3 linked regions of the Oryctolagus cuniculus genome follow. The protein of the gene in region 2 interacts with the protein of the main gene of each other region in a biochemical or structural test. Links are inferred from orthologs where the notes say so. Each region holds a gene or a part of one and is shown on either strand. Other genes may lie near its edges.

What was found.
Region 1: the proteins of UBXN2B (region 2) and PPP1R11 form a complex in vitro, tested with the Homo sapiens proteins (2 studies listed by BioGRID). The link is inferred for Oryctolagus cuniculus from reciprocal best matches to the Homo sapiens genes UBXN2B and PPP1R11.
Region 3: the proteins of UBXN2B (region 2) and PPP1R7 form a complex in vitro, tested with the Homo sapiens proteins (2 studies listed by BioGRID). The link is inferred for Oryctolagus cuniculus from reciprocal best matches to the Homo sapiens genes UBXN2B and PPP1R7.

The regions. Positions count from the first base shown.
Region 1 is NC_091436.1:140,417,365-140,424,784, forward strand, and holds PPP1R11 (E3 ubiquitin-protein ligase PPP1R11), read right to left. Parts: upstream 3,933-7,420; coding exon 3,759-3,932; exon of another isoform or gene 3,747-3,758; coding exon of another isoform or gene 3,740-3,746; intron 2,912-3,739; coding exon of another isoform or gene 2,883-2,911; intron 2,790-2,882; coding exon 2,681-2,789; intron 1,969-2,680; coding exon 1,766-1,968; 3' UTR 747-1,765; downstream 1-746. Other genes in the region: POLR1H (DNA-directed RNA polymerase I subunit RPA12), read right to left, coding at 7,324-7,348. UniProt on the Homo sapiens protein: Atypical E3 ubiquitin-protein ligase which ubiquitinates TLR2 at 'Lys-754' leading to its degradation by the proteasome.
Region 2 is NC_091437.1:83,594,933-83,601,633, forward strand, and holds part of UBXN2B (UBX domain-containing protein 2B), read left to right. Parts: coding exon 1-144; intron 145-3,043; coding exon 3,044-3,127; intron 3,128-4,170; coding exon 4,171-4,280; intron 4,281-5,885; coding exon 5,886-6,023; intron 6,024-6,701. UniProt on the Homo sapiens protein: Adapter protein required for Golgi and endoplasmic reticulum biogenesis. Involved in Golgi and endoplasmic reticulum maintenance during interphase and in their reassembly at the end of mitosis.
Region 3 is NC_091434.1:511,560-518,260, forward strand, and holds part of PPP1R7 (protein phosphatase 1 regulatory subunit 7), read right to left. Parts: intron 6,559-6,701; coding exon 6,442-6,558; intron 3,569-6,441; coding exon 3,464-3,568; intron 559-3,463; coding exon 472-558; intron 1-471. UniProt on the Homo sapiens protein: Regulatory subunit of protein phosphatase 1.

The sequences.
Region 1 (7,420 bases), on a different chromosome or scaffold from region 2:
GCCTCCAACCCTCTTGGTAGTTTGACCCAGCCATCCTGGAGGTGGAAATGATTCCAGGGATCCTGTCCATAGGCCCATTTGAGTACAGATAAGCACCCCTGCCAGTACACATTATCTCCCCCCACACACCCAGGTAAGACCTCAACCGGCCTCAGGTTTTCCACATCCATGCCTAAAGCTGAATTCATTCCTGCTCCCTCCCTCTTGGGAATCTCTCCTCACTGCTGAGCCCTCCCCTTCTACACTGTTCCAGACCTGCACTGGGGGAAGAAGCCCTTATGCCCCCAGGATTGATAAACGCCCTGTGATTACTACAGAGGCCTTGCTAGTCACACATTTAACTCCCACTCTTGCCTTGTCCAGCTCCAAAGAAGGGTTCAGTGCCTTCTCCAGAGTTCTAAGGCTTGTGTTTCCCCCCTGTGCTGTCCACTCTGAGGTTTCTCTTCAGGAGACAAGAGGCTTGACTGAGGGCTGGGCCCTAGGGCCTCTCCGATGCTTAAATACCCTTTAGGGTGGGGAACTGAGCAAGCCAGTTCTAGTCTACCTTCCTTAAGTGACTTCTTGCTGTGCTCACAGCCTTTTCCCAATAAGCCTCTAAAACTTCTTCCTGCACATACTCTCAGAAAGGAACCAATGGTGCTACCTCTCCGCTCCTCAACCTGGGAATGGTCCAAACATTCCCAGACTCACCCTTGTACAGTCTCACATCTCTCCCCATACATAGAAATGGGCCCGTATTTAACACATTTTGCAATGTTGGGTTATTTATTTTGCGCATCTGTGGCAATAAACGAGATCTCAGTGGTGGTATGGATTTGATTGATCTCTGATAACTGTGCATGGCAAGAGGCCTGGAAAATGATGACCAGATCCCAGAGTAAGGGGCAGGGAAGGTGGAGAGAGCGGGACATTGGGGCTGGCAGACATCAAAGCCTTGGAAGGAAGGGGCAAGAGTGCAGTACAGGGGACACACACTCATCTCCTTGCATAGACTAGGGACCCTGCGACTATGTTGTACCTCTCTCTGAAGCTCAAAGACCACAGGCTGAGGAGATAGTTGGCTCTAACTGACCTGTCTCAAGCCAGCTTTGTCAGAAATCCTAACTCACATGGCAATTGTGGGCACAGAAGACAAGGCTATTTTCCATTAGAGGTGAGAAGAACAAAGACCTCTCTCCTAATTCCTCTTGAGTGCATGAAGTATAGGCAGGAGGGGAGGGGCTGGAAGGCCTGAGGTCTCTCACAAGACCTCATATCCCACAGGCAAGGACAGAATTGGGTTACATAAATACTTTAGTAGAGGAGCTCTAAGCCAGAATTAACAAGCATAGCTAAGGTGAGATTGCCTGGAATCTGACTGGGACCCTGGCAGTGAAAGCTAAGACAGTTGGAAACTCAATTTAAGTATTTGGGACTCAAGTTGAGAATGCAGGGGGCCAAGATTACTGGATCCCAGGACAGGCAGTTTGGCAGTGAGAACAAAGGGAGGAGACTGGGACCAAATGCCTGGATCCCTGGAGAGAGGAGGGTGGGTATTGAGAGGAGAAATGAGGGCTGAGGGAAACCCAGAAACCTGGGTTCTGGAATAGCAGCAAGTCAGAATTCCAGGATCCCTGTCCACTTCCTCTTCCTTTTCTCTCTATCTGGTAGAGAATAGGGAAGGAGTGGGCTGGAGAAGGGATGAAACCATGGGTTTAGTCCCCAAGTAGCCACATGGACACATTCAGGGCCAGACAGACACAGGAATGGTGGGGGAGAGAGGAATTTAGTGCTGCATTGGCCCTGGAGGGGGTTGGGAGGGGTCAGGAGGCTGGGGAGGGGTGCTGGGAGTCGGTCCCAGGGCTGCATGACGCCGTCCTCTGCGATGGCCCCGTACACAGTGTGTATGACCACAGCCCTCATCTTCCTCCTCATCACTCTCCGTGGAGCTCTCACCAAAGGCCCGAGGTTTCTCATAAATACAGCAGCCTGAATGTGGAAGGAGGAGTCCAGTTAAAAAGGAGAAAGAGTAAAATGTATAGTGCATTCCGTTCCCACTGGATTTCAGTGGAAGTAGCGACTTCACTGTCTTCCCCTACCTTCCAGGATCCAGCCTCTCCAGGCCTGCTCCCTGGTACTCAGGCACCTGAACCCACTGTCCAAAATCCCACTTCTCTAACCTCTGGTACCTCTTGCCTTTAGGCCTTGGCACATCCCAGTTCTAGCCCCTCCTACATCTTTAACTTCCTTTTCCTGATGCCAGAGAACCACCAAGAAAGTGAAAGGACTATGACCACCTGAGGGCTTCTGCAAGGCCAGGAAATGCAAGAATTCCATGGCTTGGCGCTGGCCATGTGATGCAGTGGATGAAGCCTCCACCTTCGACACCAGCAACCCATATGAGCACCAGTTCTAGTCCTGGTTGCTCTACTTCTGATCCAGCTCTCTGCTAATGTACCTGGGAAAGGAGCGGAAGATGATCCAAGTAATTTGGACCTCTGCTACCCATGTGGGAGACCTGGATGGAGTTCCAGGTTCCTGGATGGCCCGCCCCAGCCCTGGCAGTTGTGGCCATTTGGGGAGTGAACCAGCAGATGGAAGAATCTCTCTCTCTCTCTCTCTCCCTCTCTCTCTTTTAAATAAATACATATTTAAAAAAATAAAAACATCCCATGGCTACTGTGGGCCCACAATTACTTACATTTTGATGAGCGGCGTCCCATATGTTCGTTGTCCACAGTGTCACTTGTCCATTCCACCTTCTTCTCTGGCTTCCGTTTCCGAAGTTTGATGGTTAGGCTCCGGTTCTCCTAGAAGGGTAAGAGGGATGGGCATACCTGTCTAGCTCCTCCTGACCCTTCCCCTTCCCACTCCCCTCCTCACTTCCCCAGCTCAATCAGTACCACAGACACAGAAGCAGAGGAGCTGAGTGCTGGAAGAAGACAAAATAGCACGGGTCTGGACAGAACAGGCCTGTGACCTCACTAAGTCCCTTGAGGAATAAGTGCTATTTCCTATTCCTGAGGACTATTTGCATACACAGAGACACAATTCCTAATCTAGGGAAGGTCCCAGCAAATCTTCAAAGAAAAGTAGAATCCTTGCTGCTTCTGTCTTCCTCCCCAAAACATCCTTGGTGGTATTAATACATGAAAATTATCATCTCAGTGCCTAATCTCTGCTCTCCCTCTCTTTTTCTGGACCCTTATTTTTTCTCACTATAGAAGGACCTACATTCTTATCTCTCCCGTCTTTAAGCTCAGGCTCCACTACCTGTCATCCACCTATTTCCTAGCATCCTGGCATCTCTGGTAGTGACTACTGCTGAACTACCAATTCCTAAACTCCCTTAATCCAGACGTTATTAAGTCCAACGCAACATTCTCTCTTGGAAAGCCATTTAGCTTGTTTGTACCAAAACGCAATTTGTTTTTCCATCTCCTCTTTCTGATTTCTCAAAACACGATCCCGTCTCTTTTTCTTGTTCCTTCACCCCCTCCACTTCTCTTCACACTCATCCACTCAGCATTTACTGGTAAGTGTGCTTCTGGTCCGAGTCCCCTAGCGCCCTCTCCAACCACACCGAGTACACAGCCTTTCCTCAGCACCTTCCTTGCCCCAGTCCTCCATTCCATTCTTTCACTACTTCTACCCAGTACCGCCCCAACAGCACCGTCTAACTTCCTGCTGCTTGTCTCTTGACCAGCCGTAAGCACCTCCGCCACTCCCAGTATCTCCAGTACCCTGTGGTCCTCCTAACCCGACATTCATCCCCGCACCCCAGGTCCACAGGCCCATTCCTCCACAGCTCTCCGAGGCCCCGTGCCCTCCTCCCTCCCCGGGTCTCCCAGACCCCTAGGCAGCGCCGCCCCCTCCTTTCTCACGGGCTCGGTTGTCACGGTAACCGTTGTCTCAGTGACGGTCTCACTCAGCCCGGCCCCTGCCTCGGCCATGGCTACGGCTGAGAGGGAAGAGGGAAGGGGAAGGAGACGCCTCTCCCTTTTTCTGTGTCTCAGATCTAAGAGAACCGGTGTCCGATTCAGAGTAGTAGCCAGGATCCTCCGCCTTTTTCCCCCTCCTCCTGGGCCTCCGCTTCCCCACCCCTGGGGATAACCTGTCCAACCCCACTTCCGGCTCTCTGCTTCCGGGTGTGACGCATCTGCAGTCCCCCTCCCTTTCCCTTCCCTGCACCAGATGCGTCAAAGCGCAGGCGTCGACTGATTAGTTCCGCCGTAATACGGAAGCGCGCAGGCGCCGCCCTCCGGAGACCAAATTTAGTGGAAGGGGCGTCACTGCGGGTAAGGGAGGAGGGGCTGGTCCTGGGTGGCCGACGCGCTCCCACCGGCGGTGAAGAGGGAGGGTAGGATCCGGTGTGAATCTGCGGACGTAGTAGCGAGTCGGGGAGGTGGGCGGTGCACCAACTTAAGTCGTCCTGTAGCCGTGACCCTGGGTGGGCGGCAAGGCGGGGAAACAGGGCGATAGGCTCGACCCTCTGTCGGCTTTCTTCCCTAAAGAGAATCGGGCCCTGGGCGCCGTTGGAGGAACTGGGTAAGGAGCAAGCCGCCTGGGTTCTCTCCCTGTGCTGTAGGATTTGAGCAGGACACTTAGTGCACCTTCGGCTGGGGAGTGTGCCAGGCTTTGAGGCTGCGATGCGCAAGACGCCCAGATCCTGCCTTTTAGCCCCCAGCCTAGAGGGGAAGACAGGCGAGCCCCGCAAATCATCAGTGAAACTGGATTTATATACTGTCATTCTCTGGGATGATGAATAGGTTTAAAGCAAAGTTTAAGTTACAGTATAGGTCATTTTATAAAAATTAAGCGCAAGTTTCTCATCAAAACAAATGGTAAAGCAAGAACCAGCAGAACAGACTTCTCTTTCTGAGGCAGAGAGCAGTTTACAAAGTCTTAAATGTGTGCGGAAGCAAATGCAGTTTTGTACTGCCGGGATGTGAGCTAGGTAGGGCATGGTGAAAACTGACAGGTTAGTAGTGGTTCCATAGAAGGCCTTGTGTGCTTTGCTAAGAAACCGTGGGGGCCAGCGCTGTGGCGCAGCGGGTTAAGCCCCAGCCTGCAGCATCGACACCCCATATGGGCTCCGATTCTAGTCCCGGCTGCTCTGCTCCCGTTCCAGCTCTCTGCTATGGCCTGGGAAAGCAGTGGAAGATGGCCCAAGTCCTTGGGCCCCTGCACCCACGTGGGAGACCTAGAAGCTCCTGGCTTCGGATCAGCTCAGCTCTGGCCTTTGTGGTCATTCGGGAGTGAACCAGTGAACCTCTCTCTCTCCCTTGTTTTGTAACTCTTTCAAGTAAATAAAAATAATTCTTAAAAAAAAAAAAACCCTCTTACTTCATCCTGTGTTGTGGGCCAGAGAGGCCTAAAGTAGGACTGAAACAAGAACAATCTGTTTGAGATTTCAGTAGTGGGTTAGGAAAGTCAGATTGGCAGCCAGTTCCCATGTACAGTGGGGCAAGACTCCCTGCCTGTGTTAAGTTGCTGTGGAAAGGGGGATGGGGGGGGCGCACAATGTACATTAAGGTCTCTGAATGCATATGGGGCACACAATTACAAGATAACTGTCACTGCATTTGTCTCTCAATCACCATGTAAACGAAGGAGCGAGAGGGTTTTTGGCCTAGTGGTTGAACCACCGGTTAGGATACCCACGTCTCTCATCAGAGTGGGTTCAGTGCTTGCCTCCAGCTTCTTGCTAATGCAGCCGCTGGAAGGCAGCAGTGATGGAGACCTGAATTGAGTTCCTGGCTCCTCTTTGGCCTTGGCACAGCCCACGCTGGCTGCAGGCATGTGGGGAGGAAACCAGCAGATAGAATACTGATTTCCCACAATCAGATCTTGAATGTTTTATATTGTGCCTGAGCTATGTATTTGTACTTCTTGCAAATTTTTGGTTCAAATTGAAAAAAGCAAGATTTAACATGTACTGCATAGCTCATTTGAAAAACCAGGGACAGGCACCTGGCCTAGAGGTTAAGACGTCCACATCCCATATCCAAGTGCTCAGGTTTGAGTCCTGCTCCAGTCCCCAGTCTAGTTTCTTGCCAGTGTGCACTCCTGGCAGCAGGTGATGTTTCAAGTAGTGGGGTCCCTGATACCCATTTGGAGGAACCAGACTGACTTCCTGGCTTGGGGCTTCAGCTAAGCCTGACCCTCAAATAAAGGAATAAATAAATTTAAAAAAAAGTTAAACCATATACATACAAACACGAAGACACTTCAAAAAGTCCTGGAAAATGGAATTTATTTTGGTGCAAAAACTTTTTGAAATTCAAACATAGTTTTTCGTAATACACATTTTCCATGAACTTTTTAGAAGTTCGTTCTTTGCATGGATTTTGAATTTTTCTTGCACCAAAACAGTCTTTCAATTCCATTTCCATGGACTTTATGAAGACATTTGTATTTCCATACATATAAAATACAGATGCATAATTTGGTTATCACTGTGGAGTGGGATTCTTTGTTTTACTTTTTTTCTACCTTTCTGTATAAGAATCTATGCCAATGAATAAATATTTATCTCAAGAGAAATTAAAAGTCTTCTATAGTAAGTACATACTGGTGTCCCTTAGTATCCCAGTTACCCAAATTTATATGCCAAATAATCTGGTTAAAGTTGCTGTTGAATCTCTCAATATCCAAATCCCAGCTTTTGTTTCCCTAAACTCAGGAACCAGACAGACAGGGAATACAAACTGCTTTTTTTTTTTTTTTTTAAAGATTATTTATTTGCTTGAAAGGCAGAGTTAAAGAGGGAGAGACAGATCTTCCATCTGCTGGTTCACTCCCAAATGGCGGTAGCTGAGCTGATCCAAAGCCAGGAGCCAGTAAGTTCTATGTGAAGAGGAGGGGCCCAAGCAGTTGGGCCACCTTCCACTGCTTTCTCAGGAGCATTTTCAGGGAGCTGGATCAGAAGTAGAACAGCCGGGACTCAAACCAGCTCCCACATGGGATGCTGGCACTGCAAACGGCAGCTTAACTTGCTACGTCACACTGCTGGCCCCACAATTGCTTTTATATTAGCCTAATTTCTGGCTCTAGTCTTTTGGTCTTTTCTTTTTTTGTGGCCATTTTCATACAAATGTAGCTCAGAAAACTTACTTAAATTCCTTTGGGATAAAACAAATTATAAATAACATGTAGAGTTCTTAGAAAAAATACAACTTTAATAAGTAAACTCAACTAGAGGTAGAAGTACTCTGGGGACAATGGTAGTCCCCACATGATGATTGAGCCAAACTTTGCAACTAATATCCAATGGACAAGGCATCTAAGAACCAATATGTTTTGCTTCTCAAGGAAGATTTGTAGAGTTGCCCAGAAAAAAATTTATGAATCTTCCTTCTCCTGGAACCTATGAAGAAAAAAAAGACTTGTTACACTGGATCAGAGGAGTTCCCAGCAATGTAAGATGAAATATTCCAAC
Region 2 (6,701 bases):
TCAGGTGAACATGAATACCGTGGATTACATATAGTTCGACCTTCAACTGGGAAAATTGTGAATGAACTTTTCAAAGAGGCAAGGGAGCATGGGGCTGTCCCTCTGAATGAAGCTACAAGATCTTCAAGTGATGACAAATCTAAGGTCAGTGTGCTGTTTCAAAACTAAACCTACTATTTCTATATCTGATCTCCTATTCTTCTTTTATAAGCAAACATTGGTTTTCTAATTGTATATTTGTTTTAATATTTCATGTTATAGGATTATTGCCTGTCTGTTAATTGACAGAAATTTGCAAAAAGTATAGACAGAAGTCTCACATACTGTTCACCTATTTCATGTAGTTTCCCCAAATGGTTCTACTTTGCATGATTATAAGAGAGGACTTCATGAAATTTGTGGAAAATGAAATTAAAAGATAAATTTATTTCAAAAAGGTAAATTTAATTCAAAGTACTTTGAAATCTCTTCATAGTTTTTTTATCATATGCATTTCTACATACCTTTTAAAGAAACCCTGTGTACATGAATTTTGACATTTTTCTGCATGAAAATTTATCAATTAATTCCATTTTTCACAAACTTCTTGAACTTTGTAGGACAATATTTAAGCCATGAATTTGCTATTAATACACTCTGTGTCAAAAAATTTTATCTTGTAGATTTATATAACTCAATCATGATACCATTCTATCATTACAAAGCTACTCATGTTGTACCCCTTTGTAGTCATGCCCACTATCTTCTCCTACACTAACTCTCTAACCTCTGGCCATCACTACTCTCTTTTTCCATCTCTGTGATTTTGTAACATTAAAAATGTTATAAAAATGATATCACGCAATAGGTAAATCTTTTGGGAGTAGTTTTTTCAGCTGGCATAGTGCCCTCAAGGTACTTCAAAGTTATCCCATGTATCAAGACTGTTCTTTCTCTAAGTTGCATTTATGGTATGGATGTACCACAGGTTTGACCATTCATTTATTCAGGGCCATTCTAGCTGTTTCTAGATGCTGATTATCACAAATAAAACTGCTGTGAGCAATCATACATAGGTTTGTCTACAGATGAATTCTAGTTTTTATAGCATAAATGCTCAGGTGTGCAGTTACTGAGTCATATGGTAAGTCCGTGTTGAGTTTAAAGAACCTGCCAAACTGTGTTCCAGAATGGTAATACCATTCTATATTCTCAGTGTATGAGAGACTATTTCTCTTTATCCTATAAGCATTTGACATTGTCACTATTTTTGATTTAGCCATGTTGATAGTTGTATAGTGATAACATACTGTAGTTTGAATTTGCATTTCCCCAATGAGTGATAATGTTAATTTGCATTTTCTTAATTGTTAGTGGTGTTGAACATCATTTCATGTGCTTGTTTGCCATATTTTTTACTCTTTTCAGTGAAATATCTCTTTATGACTTTTGCCCATTGGTTATTATTGAGTTTTGAGAGTTTTTAAAATATTTTAATAAGTATGGGTCCTTTGTCGAATGATATGGTTTACAGATACTCTCAGACTATAATTTATATTTTCATCCTCTTAATTGGAATTTTGCAGAGCAAAAGTTTTAAACTTTAATGCAGTCCAGTTTTTCAGGTTTTTATTTTCTTTTGTGGATCATGCTTCTGTTATTGTCTAAGAACTTTCACCAAACCTTAGAACCACTCATTCTTGCCCATGTTATCCAAAAAAGTTACATAGTCTGCATTTTACACTTAAGCCCATGATTCATTTTGAGTTAGTTTTATGTAAAATGTGAGATTTATATTGTTTCCTTTTTTGCTTATAGATAGCCAGTTGCCCCAATGTATTTGTTGAAAAGGTTCACCATTCTTTGTGAAAGTGCTTTTGTACCTTATTAGATTTCTGTTGAGCATTAATATAGCTTTTTTATCAGCCATCTCAGTATTGGAGTATTGAAGACTTCAAGTGTCTTTATGTCTAATTGTTATTTATTCCCATAATCAGCATTCTCAGCCTGGAATTCTCCAATCACAGTCACTCGGTGAGGTCTTCTAAACTCCCACATGAACTCGCATACGATGGCTTAGAAGGTTGGAGGTGTTCCTAGATGAGTGTCTGCTGAAAAAGCATGTCTTCTCCATATTGATTTTGATATCAATATGGAGAACTATTCTGATGAAACAAATTTTAGTTTTTATTATCTGTCAACAGCTTGAAATGCTTTCTCAGTCAAGTCTTTTTTTTTTTTTTTTAAGATTTATTTATTTATTTGAAAGGCAAAGTTAGAGAGAAAGAGGGAGAAACAGACAGATCTTCCATCTGCTGGTTCACTCCCCAAATTGTAGGGGCTAGGCTAGACCAATGCCAGGAAGCAAGAGCTTCATCTGTATCTCGCACATGGGTGGCAGGGGACCAGGCACTTGGGCCATCTTCTCTTGCTTTCCCAGGTGCATTAGCAGGGAGCTGGATCAGAAGTAGAGCAGCCAGGAATCGAACTAGCACCCATATGGGGTGCTGGTACTACAGGCAGTGGCTTAACCCGCTATGCCACAACACCAACCCCTCAGTCAAGTCTTAAAGTCACTTTGGTTCTTGCAAGCTCTCTGCTTCCATTTTAAAAAAATGTAGAATTGATGATTTAGTCTGTATGGACAAAAAAAAAAAATGTGACAATTAGATCATTGAGGATATTAGGAGTGATTAGAAAGAACAGTATTTTTACTTAGAATCCGCCCTACCTGATGAATGGAAGAACTTGTGATTAGTATAGCAAAATAAAAAGTCTAATCAGAGCTGACTTGTTACAGTTGAATCCAAATAGCTTATAAAATAAGCTTATAGCTTTTCTTCAGGGTCATTTAGACTCATTGATAAAATTCTTCCTTTACTCTAAGACTTGTCATAACATTGTAATGGTAGCTTAAAAATACCTTAGCTACACTTGAAAATACCCATTCCAGTGCATAAATGCTCATCTTAATTTGATTATCTAGTTTATAGTACATCACAATTTGTAATTACACTTTACTTAATAAACCTTTAACTCAATTTTTATCTTACTTTTATTGTAGTCTTTTACAGGTGGAGGATACAGGTTGGGAAATTCCTTTTGTAAGCGGTCTGAATACATCTATGGAGAAAATCAGCTGCAAGATGTAGGTATAGTACTCAAAATGAAAATTGATAGATATTTTCCTTTGGTTACTACTTTTAATTTTGAAATTTAAAACCAAGAATATAAATTTCTTTGTTAACTTTTGAAGCTTTATTCAAAGGATCAATGTGTAAGGTCTCAGTGTAAATTTTTGTATCATGTATCTCATTCATGCCTTATACTTAGAGGTACATAACTGATTGTTGAAAGAATGTGTAGGTGACTGTCAAAATGGGCTTACAGGCCAAGTATCTGGCCTACTGGCTAAGCCCCTGGTTAGGATACCTGTTTCTCACATTTGAGTGCCTGGGTTACATACCAGGCTCTGGCTTCTGATTCCAGTTTCCTGCCAGTGCAGACCCTGGCAGTCAAGGGTGATGTTTAAAATAGTTGACTTCCTGCAACCCATGGAGGAGATGTGGATTGGGTTCTCAGCTCCTGACTTTGGTCTCCCCAGCCATTGTGGGCATTTGGGAGTGAGCCACCAGATAGTAGCTCACTCAGTCTCCCTCCCTGTATGTCCCAATCTCTCTGTTTTTCAAAGAAAATTGTTTTTAAAAGTGTCATATATTGTGATAATGATTATAGTTGGTATAATGAGCTGGGTTGTAAACATAGACACTAAAGTCATTCTTTGTTTCTGTTGCCTTTTAAAATGTTGGAATTATAGTTTCATTTTCAGCATTTATAATTTTCGTAGAAGCACATTGGGACTTCTCTTGCCCTTTATCATGAGTATTTAAGCTCTGTAGCAGAGAAGAGGAAGGGTGGGAGTAGTGGGATCATAGCTGGGTGCCGTCTTCTGTTTTCTTTTACTGGTAGTTGTGCTTCGAGGTCAGGGTCAAGCTGTGGAACCTTTGGTATTTTCAGCCATTATCATTTGTTAAACTGAATGCTAGTCTGCTAAGCAAACTGAATAAAGCACAATAGGGATAAATTCCTATTTTAAATCTAAGTAGCAGTGTAATGTTCTGTGAGATACCACATTGGAAAACTTAGCCTTGTTTGATGGAAATGGTTTCTCCCCTACTCCTTATCTCACAGGTTCAGGTTTTGCTTAAACTGTGGAGCAATGGTTTCAGCTTAGATGATGGAGAATTGAGACCTTACAGTGACCCAACAAATGCTCAGTTTTTGGAGTCTGTTAAGAGAGGGTAAGATACATTATTTGTATTCTGTTACTTGGAATGGGGCTTTTTTTTTTCCCATTAACCAGATGACTATTTAGTGGTGTGCCCTTCTGCTTTTCAAGAGTTGATTACTAGACAGTATTATGTAAGTGATTGCTGGGAGAATGGGCCTTTTTCCCAAGTATGTAAAGGCTGTATTGCTGTCTCAGTCACTACTTCTGGCTTTGAGGGGAAGGGACATGGGACGTTGGATATTGGCCCCGTTTTAAAAATCTTGATGAAACCATGACCCAACTCTAAGCAGAAACATCTTAATATAAGAGATCAGGAAATTGGTTAGCATGTAGCTGCCCGTCCGCTATAGCATTGTCCTGCTTACTGGTGACAGGGTGACTTACACTGCACACTTGCCTGAAATTCAGCAGCTTGTATGAGAACTCTTTAAAGTGGCATTACTACTGGCAGGTAGTTCAAACAGTTAATTTAAAGTGATAATTTGTGAAAGTAGTCCAGAGAGATAGTACTCTAAGCCAACTGAAAAATAATATCAACTCATCAGTCCTTATTGCTACAGGATGAAGAATCAAGTGATTTTTGCTTTGATGATAAAAGCTTTTCTGTGATACAGATTTCACTAGCTGACATGGAATTATTCCTAAGTAGCAGCACAACTAAGGAGATAAAGATGACAATAAGCTGGAAGATGTAGTAATAGGAAGGGACCAGATGACTTAGCATGAATTTTTAATGTAAATTTTGCACAAATGATGTCAGGATACCAGACAAAGGTAAGTAGTGCTATAAGCAGTATGCTGAAGACCTTAAGAAAGGTGAGAAGCTATCCTAGGAGGCAGTGTGTGGTAGTGGCAAACACAAGAATATAATAGTTTGAATCAATGCTATGGATATAGGAACCTGAGGAATCAGTGAGAAGAGGTAGGAGCGTTTGGGGGGCAGAGATGGTCCTCTGTGGTGAAATCCAGCATTACTGTTTCTATGATGCTGATTTTACGATAGTGGAAGAAAAAATACTGATAATCAGAGTACAGTGATATATATTAAGACTAATTTATTGTTAAGTAAAAATCTATAAACTTTGTAGGCTAATACTGAAACAAATGTGGCATATAGAAAAGACAGAGTTATAGAGAGAGAGACAGAGAGGTCTTCTATCCGCTGGTTCACTCCCCAGATGGCCGCAGTGGCCAGAGACGCGCCGATCTGAAGCCAGGAGCTTCTTCCGGGTCTCACGAGAGCGCCGGCTCTGGATCTTTTTGAGCATTGACATGTTGCCACAATGAGAAATCTCACGTTTAACTTCATGTGACAGGTCTAGTCAAAATGCAGGTGCACCTAAAGTACAATATAAATATACCTTGAAGCTATATGTATTAGGTATATATGAAACATAAGTGAATTTTGTGTTTAGACTTGGACCCCATCCTACAGTTACCTCATTATGTATAATGCCAATATTCTAAAATTAAAACACTTCTGGTCATAAGCCTTTCTGATAAGGGACACTCAACTTATTTGATAATGTAAGCAGAAATTGCTGTTCTGCGGTGTAGCTCATGATTTGATGACAGTAATCTTTAGAAAGCTTAAATGTTTTTCCCTTTTTTCAAGAGAGATTCCCTTGGAGCTTCAGCGACTGGTTCATGAAGGCCAACTGAGTCTGGACATGGAGGACCATCAGGATCAAGAATATGTAAAACCTAGGCTGAGGTTCAAGGCTTTCAGTGGAGAAGGGCAAAAACTTGGAAGGTAAGATTCCTAAAATGAGAAAAGTATTCATCCTTGTTCAAATTTTCTTTCAGGACAAAAGAAAAGCAAAAATGACCTGTGAAAGAGAAACTAAAATATGAACTGTGAAGACCTTAAATAAACAGAAATCCAGTGGTGGTGTTGGTAGGCCGTACTTAGCAGTTACACATTCCTGGCTGTCTAAATGCTCTATTTGCTGTTAACTAATCTAATCTTCACAATAGCCGCATTTTGCAGATATAGTAATTTTCCCAATGTGATTTGAGTTAGGAAATGACCAGTGAGTGCCGTTCAAACCCAGGCACTCTGGTTCCAGAGTCTCTGCTTTTCACCATATGTTATATGCCTGTTTCAGATAATGTGGTTTAAAAAGGAGAAAATTAGTGAATTGTTGATTACATAAAACAGTGGCTATCTTAACTTCACAACATGCATGCAAATTACAGACGCCAAATAAGTAAAACACCTGTAAAACCTGAGCTACTATGACTGAGGATGAAAGAGAGAGTTGTCTCTGATGCGTTTCCAAAGAATTCTGACAGAATTTTATAGAGCACAATTCAAAGACTAGTGTGTGGCATAATGTATGAGAAGGGCCCTTTATAATGGCTACACCTTGGAACCAGCACTGTGGTGCAGGGGGTAAAGCTGCCCCCTGCAGTGCTTGCATCCCATGCG
Region 3 (6,701 bases), on a different chromosome or scaffold from region 2:
CCACCCCCGAGTTCTGAGTCCTCCCGCACACAGCTGCCCGGGAGCCCAGGTGACACACGGGCGGGATCAGCGGCCCAGCCAGGACCCAGCAGAGGTCCCGGTGAGCCCCAGTGCATCGAGGGCCACACTCGGCCTGCGGCACTGCAGGACAAAGGCCCCAGCCCAACCCTTATGGAGTCGCGACGGGGAGCCCCTTCTCACCCTGTCGCCTCTCCCTGACTTTGTGACGGTACCAGCACACCCACATCCACGGGGCACAGCCAGGCACAGCCAGGCGGCAGCTCGGCTGGGCCTGCGCCCAGTGCACTGCTCACAAGCTCTGGCTGCCGCGGGGCTGCCGGCCTGGGGCCCACTGCTGAGGCGGCACCGACACAGCCAACGCGGGCTCCACACCTGCCCCTGGCCGGCGCAGCCCTGGGCCTCAGGATCCCAGCTGCACACCACCTCCGTCTCGGCGAGCCCCAGACTTACCCAGAATTCCTGCAGCTCTGTAAGGTGGCTGACATTTTCAATCTTCTTGATTCTATTCGATGCAATGTCCAACATTGTGAGTTTGTTCTGGGATAAGGAAATACATGGATCACCACAGTTGAGCGGGGCTGTGGCCGAGGGTCGGCCAGCACTGTGGGACACAGCCATGTCCCCAGTCCTCACCACCACTGGCTGAGACCCAATCTGTGGCCCCTGGGACCCCGTGAGCAGGCGGCTCTGGGGGGCTGCTTAGCGCTGACCGCGAGCACAGGCACAGCACGGAGGCTTCCAAGCGCGCTCCTCTCCTCTGCGAGTGAGGCTGCAAACCGCCGCGAGCCGAGGGAGAGGAAGCCTGCAACTCTGGGACGAGGGCCTGCCCTCCTGACTGAGTGGGGGGGCACAGGAGGGCCTGGGTGTGCGGCGAGCGAGCCCTGGGCAGACGGGACTGGACAGCTGGCGGTGGCGAGGCACAGCTGCAGGCACACACAGCGCCACCACACTGCCGGCAGGCTCTCCTGTCCCAGGACGTGCACACAGCTAGGCCTGGGCAAGAGCTTCCTCTGGCGTGGATCCGACACCGCACACAAGATGGCTGTAGGCAGCACTGGGGCCGTCAGGACCCACTGCCTGCTGGCACGACGGCGACCAAGCCAAGCCCCGCTGGCCAGAGCGCGCCCCGTCCTCTCTGCCGCTGCTCACCCACTACTCACAGAGGACCCCTGTACTCGTGAGTGCGTTCCTGACTCCAGATCTGAGTCACGAGACACTCCAGTGAGACACACACCACAGCACCTGACTGGCAGCTCTGCACGCAAAAGCACCATGGCTGACCTCAGAGCTCCGGGGCCCTGGCCCCCGACCTGCGCTGGTGCCGTGGGCACTGCCACGTGGGTCACGGCGCTGGGGCCTTCCAAACAGACCTGCAGAGCAGGGCCAGGAGGGCCCCGCTCCAGAGGGCTCAAGGTCACCGCAAGCCCAGCCCTGGTGGACAAAGCTGCTCCCAGCCCGCGGGGTCCACACTGGAGGGTGCAGCACTGGGGCAGGGGGCTAGTGGCAGATGGACTCTGGCTCATCAGCACCGCCCAGGCTGTGGCCCAGGGGCCGGCCACGCACGCGACACCAGTGCATGTCTTTTAGGGAGAGCTGGACAAGGTTCGGCATGGCCTTCCAGAAGCAAACCAATCAGAACTGCTGAGAAGGAGAGAGAAGCGACAGTGGCACAGCGTGGGGAGGGTGCACGCAGGCTGGGTGAGGAAGAGCTTCCGGTGCAGGGGCCACGGCAGGGGCCACTTTCCCCACCTCCTGCCGCACGCAGGGTCCAGATCTGTGAGGTGAGACTGGAAGAAGTCAGGGGAAGGCCTGCTTGGTTTGCGAGAACTAGACAGGAAGGCCTGCACACTGGGTCACGTCTCCGTCTCAGCGGCTGAGCGACCCCGGCGCCTCACCAAGCCCACACTCGGCCCGAGCCCCTGTGCTGCCTGCCTGCCACACCTGCGGCTTCTCGGAACCAGCGGTGCCAGGCTCTGGCGTGGCAGCGGGGCCGTGAGCGCTCCCAGGGGCCGCGCACTGCTGCTCCCTGCGCGGCTGCCACTGGGCACCTGGCCCCCCGCTGGCTCCATCAACTCCAAGTCAGTCCCAAAGCTGAAGGGAGGTGACCAACTCTCCACAGGCACACGCCACCCTTTCCAAAATACCCTGAAGAAGTCGCTGAAATGAGATCTGGGGGAGCCCTTGCTGGGACACGGAAACAGCATCTCCAGTACCAGGAAAGACCAGAGTTACACCGACCAGTGCAGGGGCAGCGCCGCGGCACAGCGGCACAGCTGCTGCCTGCAACACCGACATCGCATATGGGTGTCAGTTCGAGTCTTGGCTGCTCCACTTTTGATCCAGCTCCCTGTTAATGCACCTGGGAAAGCAGTGGAGGATGGCCTTAGTTCTTGGCCCCTGCACCCACATGGGGGACTCAGAAGAAGCTCCTGGCTTTAAATCAGCCCAGCTCTGGCCACTGTAGCTACCTGGGGAGTGAGCGAGCAAGGGAAGATCTCTTTCTTTAACGCTGCCTTTCAAATAAATAAATAAATAAATCTTAAAATAATACAAATAAATGAGCAAAAACGTGTTCTAGCTGGTGTGGCTACTGCACAGGAAAGCTGGCTGAGCTGGGGGTGGCCGGCGAGCAGCCAGTCCTCCATGCGTCCCTCAGAGTGGTGGTGGTGGCCGGGAGCGACACAGGCAGCTCAGAGGCCAGGGCCCAGAAGGAGGGGACAGCTGCTGGTGTCCAGGTTCCTTGTGGAACAGGGGCATCTACAAGCCTAGGGTTTCTCAACTCCTCCCAAATGACCACATGCTGGCTGGACAGGCAGTGACCACCGCCCTGGGAAGCGCCAGTGCGGGAGGCTGCTGCTGACGCCCACGCCACACGGGTGGAGGGGACTGGCCGAGGGCCGTGCGGGTTTCAGGTGGGAAGGCTACTGCAGCTCTGCCGGCAGCCAGCGCTCCTTAGAGACCTTCCGGCCGTGGGCAGTGGGGCAGCCGCAGGCAGTGGGGCGGCCGCGGGCAGTCGGGTGGCCGTGGGGCGGCCACGGGCAGTGGGGCGGCCGTGGGAAGTGAGGCGGCCATGGGGAACGAGGTGGCCGTGGGCAGTGAGGTGGCCGTGGGCAGTGGGGCAGCCATGGGCAGTCGGGCGGCCGCGGGCAGTGAGGCGGCCGTGGGCAGTCGGGCGGCCGTGGGCAGCGGGGCAGCCATGGGCAGCGGGGCGGCCGTGGGCAGTGGGGCGGCCGTGGGCAGTGAGGCGGCCGTGGGCAGTGAGGCGGCCGTGGGCAGTGTCTCGGCCGTGGGCAGCGGGGCGGCCGTGGGCAGTGTCTCGGCCGTGGGCAGTGGGGCGGCCACGGGCAGCGGGGCGGCCGTGGGCAGTGGGGCGGCCGCGCGCGGGCAGTGAGGCGGCTGCGGGCAGCGAGCGCGTAGCCGCAGTGCGAGGCTGCCGGCTTACGTTGTTGTCCAGGCCCTCGATGACCTCGATACCGTTGTGGCTGAGGTACAGCTCGCGCAGGTTCACCAGGCTCTGCAGACCCTCGATCTTGGTCAGCCGGTTGCTCTGCAAAGAGGAGAGCCGACAGCGGTCAGAGCGCGGTGGGGCAGGCAGGGCCAGCACGTGCAGAGGGGGCCGCCACTGCCAGCCAAGGCTCTCGCACGGAGTGTGGGAACTCACGCTTTATAGATACACTGGGGGAAGCTTTACTTGGATTAATTTTTTTTTTTTTAAAGATTTGAGGCGCTGGCACCGTGGTGTAGCAAGTAAACTTGCTGCCTGCGATGCTGGCATCCCATGTGGGCCCCAGCTCGTGTCCAGGCTTTAAATCTTTAAAAAAAAAAAAAAAAATTATTTGAAGGGCAGAGTGAGACAGAGAGGGAGAGACAAAGACAGAAAGATCTTCCATCCACTGGTTCACTCCCCAAATGACTGCAACAGCCAGGACTGGGCCAGGCTGAAGCCAGGAGCCGGCTCTCCCAGGGGTGGCAGGAGCCCAGGCACTTTGGTCATCTTCAGCTGCTTTCCCAAGCCGTCAGCAGGGAAGTGGAGGGGAAGCAGAGCAGGCCGAACCCCAGTATGGGATGCCAGTGTTAGGCCACAACATCAGCCCTTACTCTGATAATTCCTCAATCATTTAAATCAATCAAGTTAATTAAACTTAAAATAATTCCAAAATTGCTGATTATATTTACTTTTAAGGTGTTTACTTTTTACAGCCATCTGTAAAATATTTATTTTTTATCTTAATCTTTAGTTTTTAGGATTCAATGTGACCACTATATTCCTAAAGCTGTACCTATGAAATTTGTATTCATTAAATAAAAACTTTCTTAAAAAGATTTGTAGATGCAACTAAGAGCATGATGTCCCTTTCCTCCCTCCCCCCACCCTGCTCCGTCTCCTGTCTCCACTTTTTGAGATAACATTTTAGATTTGCATTACAGTAAAAAGTCTTAATACTTCATCAAGTAAGAAGTTTGACAAGTAGAAAGCTCAAAGACCTGAATTTGGTAGGAAGACAATGGCTACAAATAATAACTGAATGGAAAAACGACCATTTCACCCACATGCAGTAAATGATTCTTTTCAAACAAGTTCATTCCTGCTTTTCAGGACCCACCGCAGCCTGAGTTTTCCGGCGGTGGGCAGGCAACCTGCCGCAGACAGTCACAGCGGCTCTCCGTGCCCACGGCTGGGCCGGCCGGCCTCCAGGACCCAGTGCACCCGAGCTTGACCGCGCTGAGCTGCTTCCAGCAAGAAAGCTCCCAGGAACTCAGCACCACGGGGCAGCACAGGCCCCTGGGAGTCTGCGGGTCTGTGCTCGCTGCTTCCACCGCCTGGCCAGACGCCAGGAGAGAGCCAAGAGCACACGCCACCAGCTGAAAGGGTCCTGCGGCTGAAGCCACCTGGGACTCCCTGGGAACGTTTCAGTTCAGCAGGTGTGTGTGTGTATGTAGTGTTTGTACATGGCACGTGTGTGAAGAGTGTGTATGGCCTTGTGAAGTGTTTCTGAGTGTGTGTATGTGGTTTACGTGAAGTGCCTGTGTATGAGTGGAGGGGCATGAATGAGGTGTGTACATGAGTTGTATGCACACAAAGTACGTGTGTATGAAGTGTGTGAAGTGTGGGGCCAGCACTGCGGTGTAGTAGGTTAAGCCACTGCCTGTGACACCAGCATCCCATATGGGCATGGGTTCAAGTCCTATATTTATTTATTTATTTTCTTTAAAGATTTATTTCATTTATTTGAAAGTCAGAGTTACACAGAGAGAAGAGAGGCAGAGAGAGAGAGAGCGAGAGAGAGAGGTCTTCCATCTGTTGGTTCACTCCCCAGATGGCTGCCAACAGTTGGAGCTGCGCTGATCTGAAGCCAGGAGCCAGGAGCTTCTTCCAGGTCTCCCACGCGGGTGCAGGGGCCCAAGGACTTGGGCCACATTCTACTGCTTTCCCAGGCCACAGCAGAGAGCTGGATCGGAAGAGGAGCAGCCGGGACTAGAACTGGCGTCCATATGAGATGCTGGCACCACAGGTGGAGGATTAACCTACTGTGCCACAGCACCGGCCCCCCATTGCTCCACTTCTGACCCAGCTCTTCCCACGGCATCTGGGAAAGCAGTGGAAGATGGCCCAAGTCCTTGGGCCCCTGCACCCATGTGGGAGACCGGGATGAAACTCCTGACTCCTGGCTTTGGCCTGGCCCTTGAGGGCATTTGGGGAGTGAACCAGCAGATGGAAGACCTCTCTTTCGCTCTCTGTGTCTCTCTAACTCTGAATCCTACATGGGTGCTGGTTCGATTCTCAGCTGCTTCACTTCTGATCCCACTCTGTTATGGCCTGGAAAGCAGTGGAAGATGGTCCAAGTGCTTGGGCCCCCGCACCTGCGTGGGAGGCTCAGTAGAAGCTCCTGGCTTCTCCCTGGCTGTTGCAGCGGTGTGGGACGTGAACCAGCAGATGGAAAATCTCCCTTTATTTCTCTCTGTCTCCTTCTCTAACTCTGCCTTTCAAATAAATAAAACAAATGCTTACCAAAAACGTGTGTGAACTGTGTACAAAAAGTGTGTGACAGGAAGTGTGTGTATGTGAAGTGTATGTGTATACAGTGGAAGTGTGTATACAAAGCATGTGTGTGCATGAAGTATGTGAAGTCTGCATGTGTGTGAACTATATGTGAAGTCTGTGTGTGAACTGTATGTGAACCATGTGAGAACAGGGTGTGAAGTCTGTGTGAATGTGTGTGTGAAGTCTGAGTGTGAAGTCTGTGTGTGAACCATGTGAGAACAGGGTGTGAAGTCTGTGTGAATGTGTGTGTGTGTGAAGTCTGTGGGATCTAAGGTCTCAGTCACCAACAGGGAAGCAAAGCACTGCTGGTGGGACACAGTGAGGTCCACAATGGGCTGGGGCCACAGGTCTGGCCTGCAGGAAGTGTGGAGCCGTACCTGCATGCTGAGGACGGTCAGGTTGGTAAGTGCGTCCAGGTTCTGCAGTTTAGTGATTTTGTTTTTCCCCAAAAACAGACTTTCCAGATTGGTTAATGTGTCGATATTTTCAATTGCCTGTGAAAAGGACAGAGCAGTGGTGAGCAAGGAGACCTCCAAGCTCACCAGAGAGGGAAGATGCCTGGGCCATATCTGCTCTGCAGACTTCCCCGCGAACCCATGCATGAAAGAACAGGGTGAGGGCACGGGCACGGGCACGG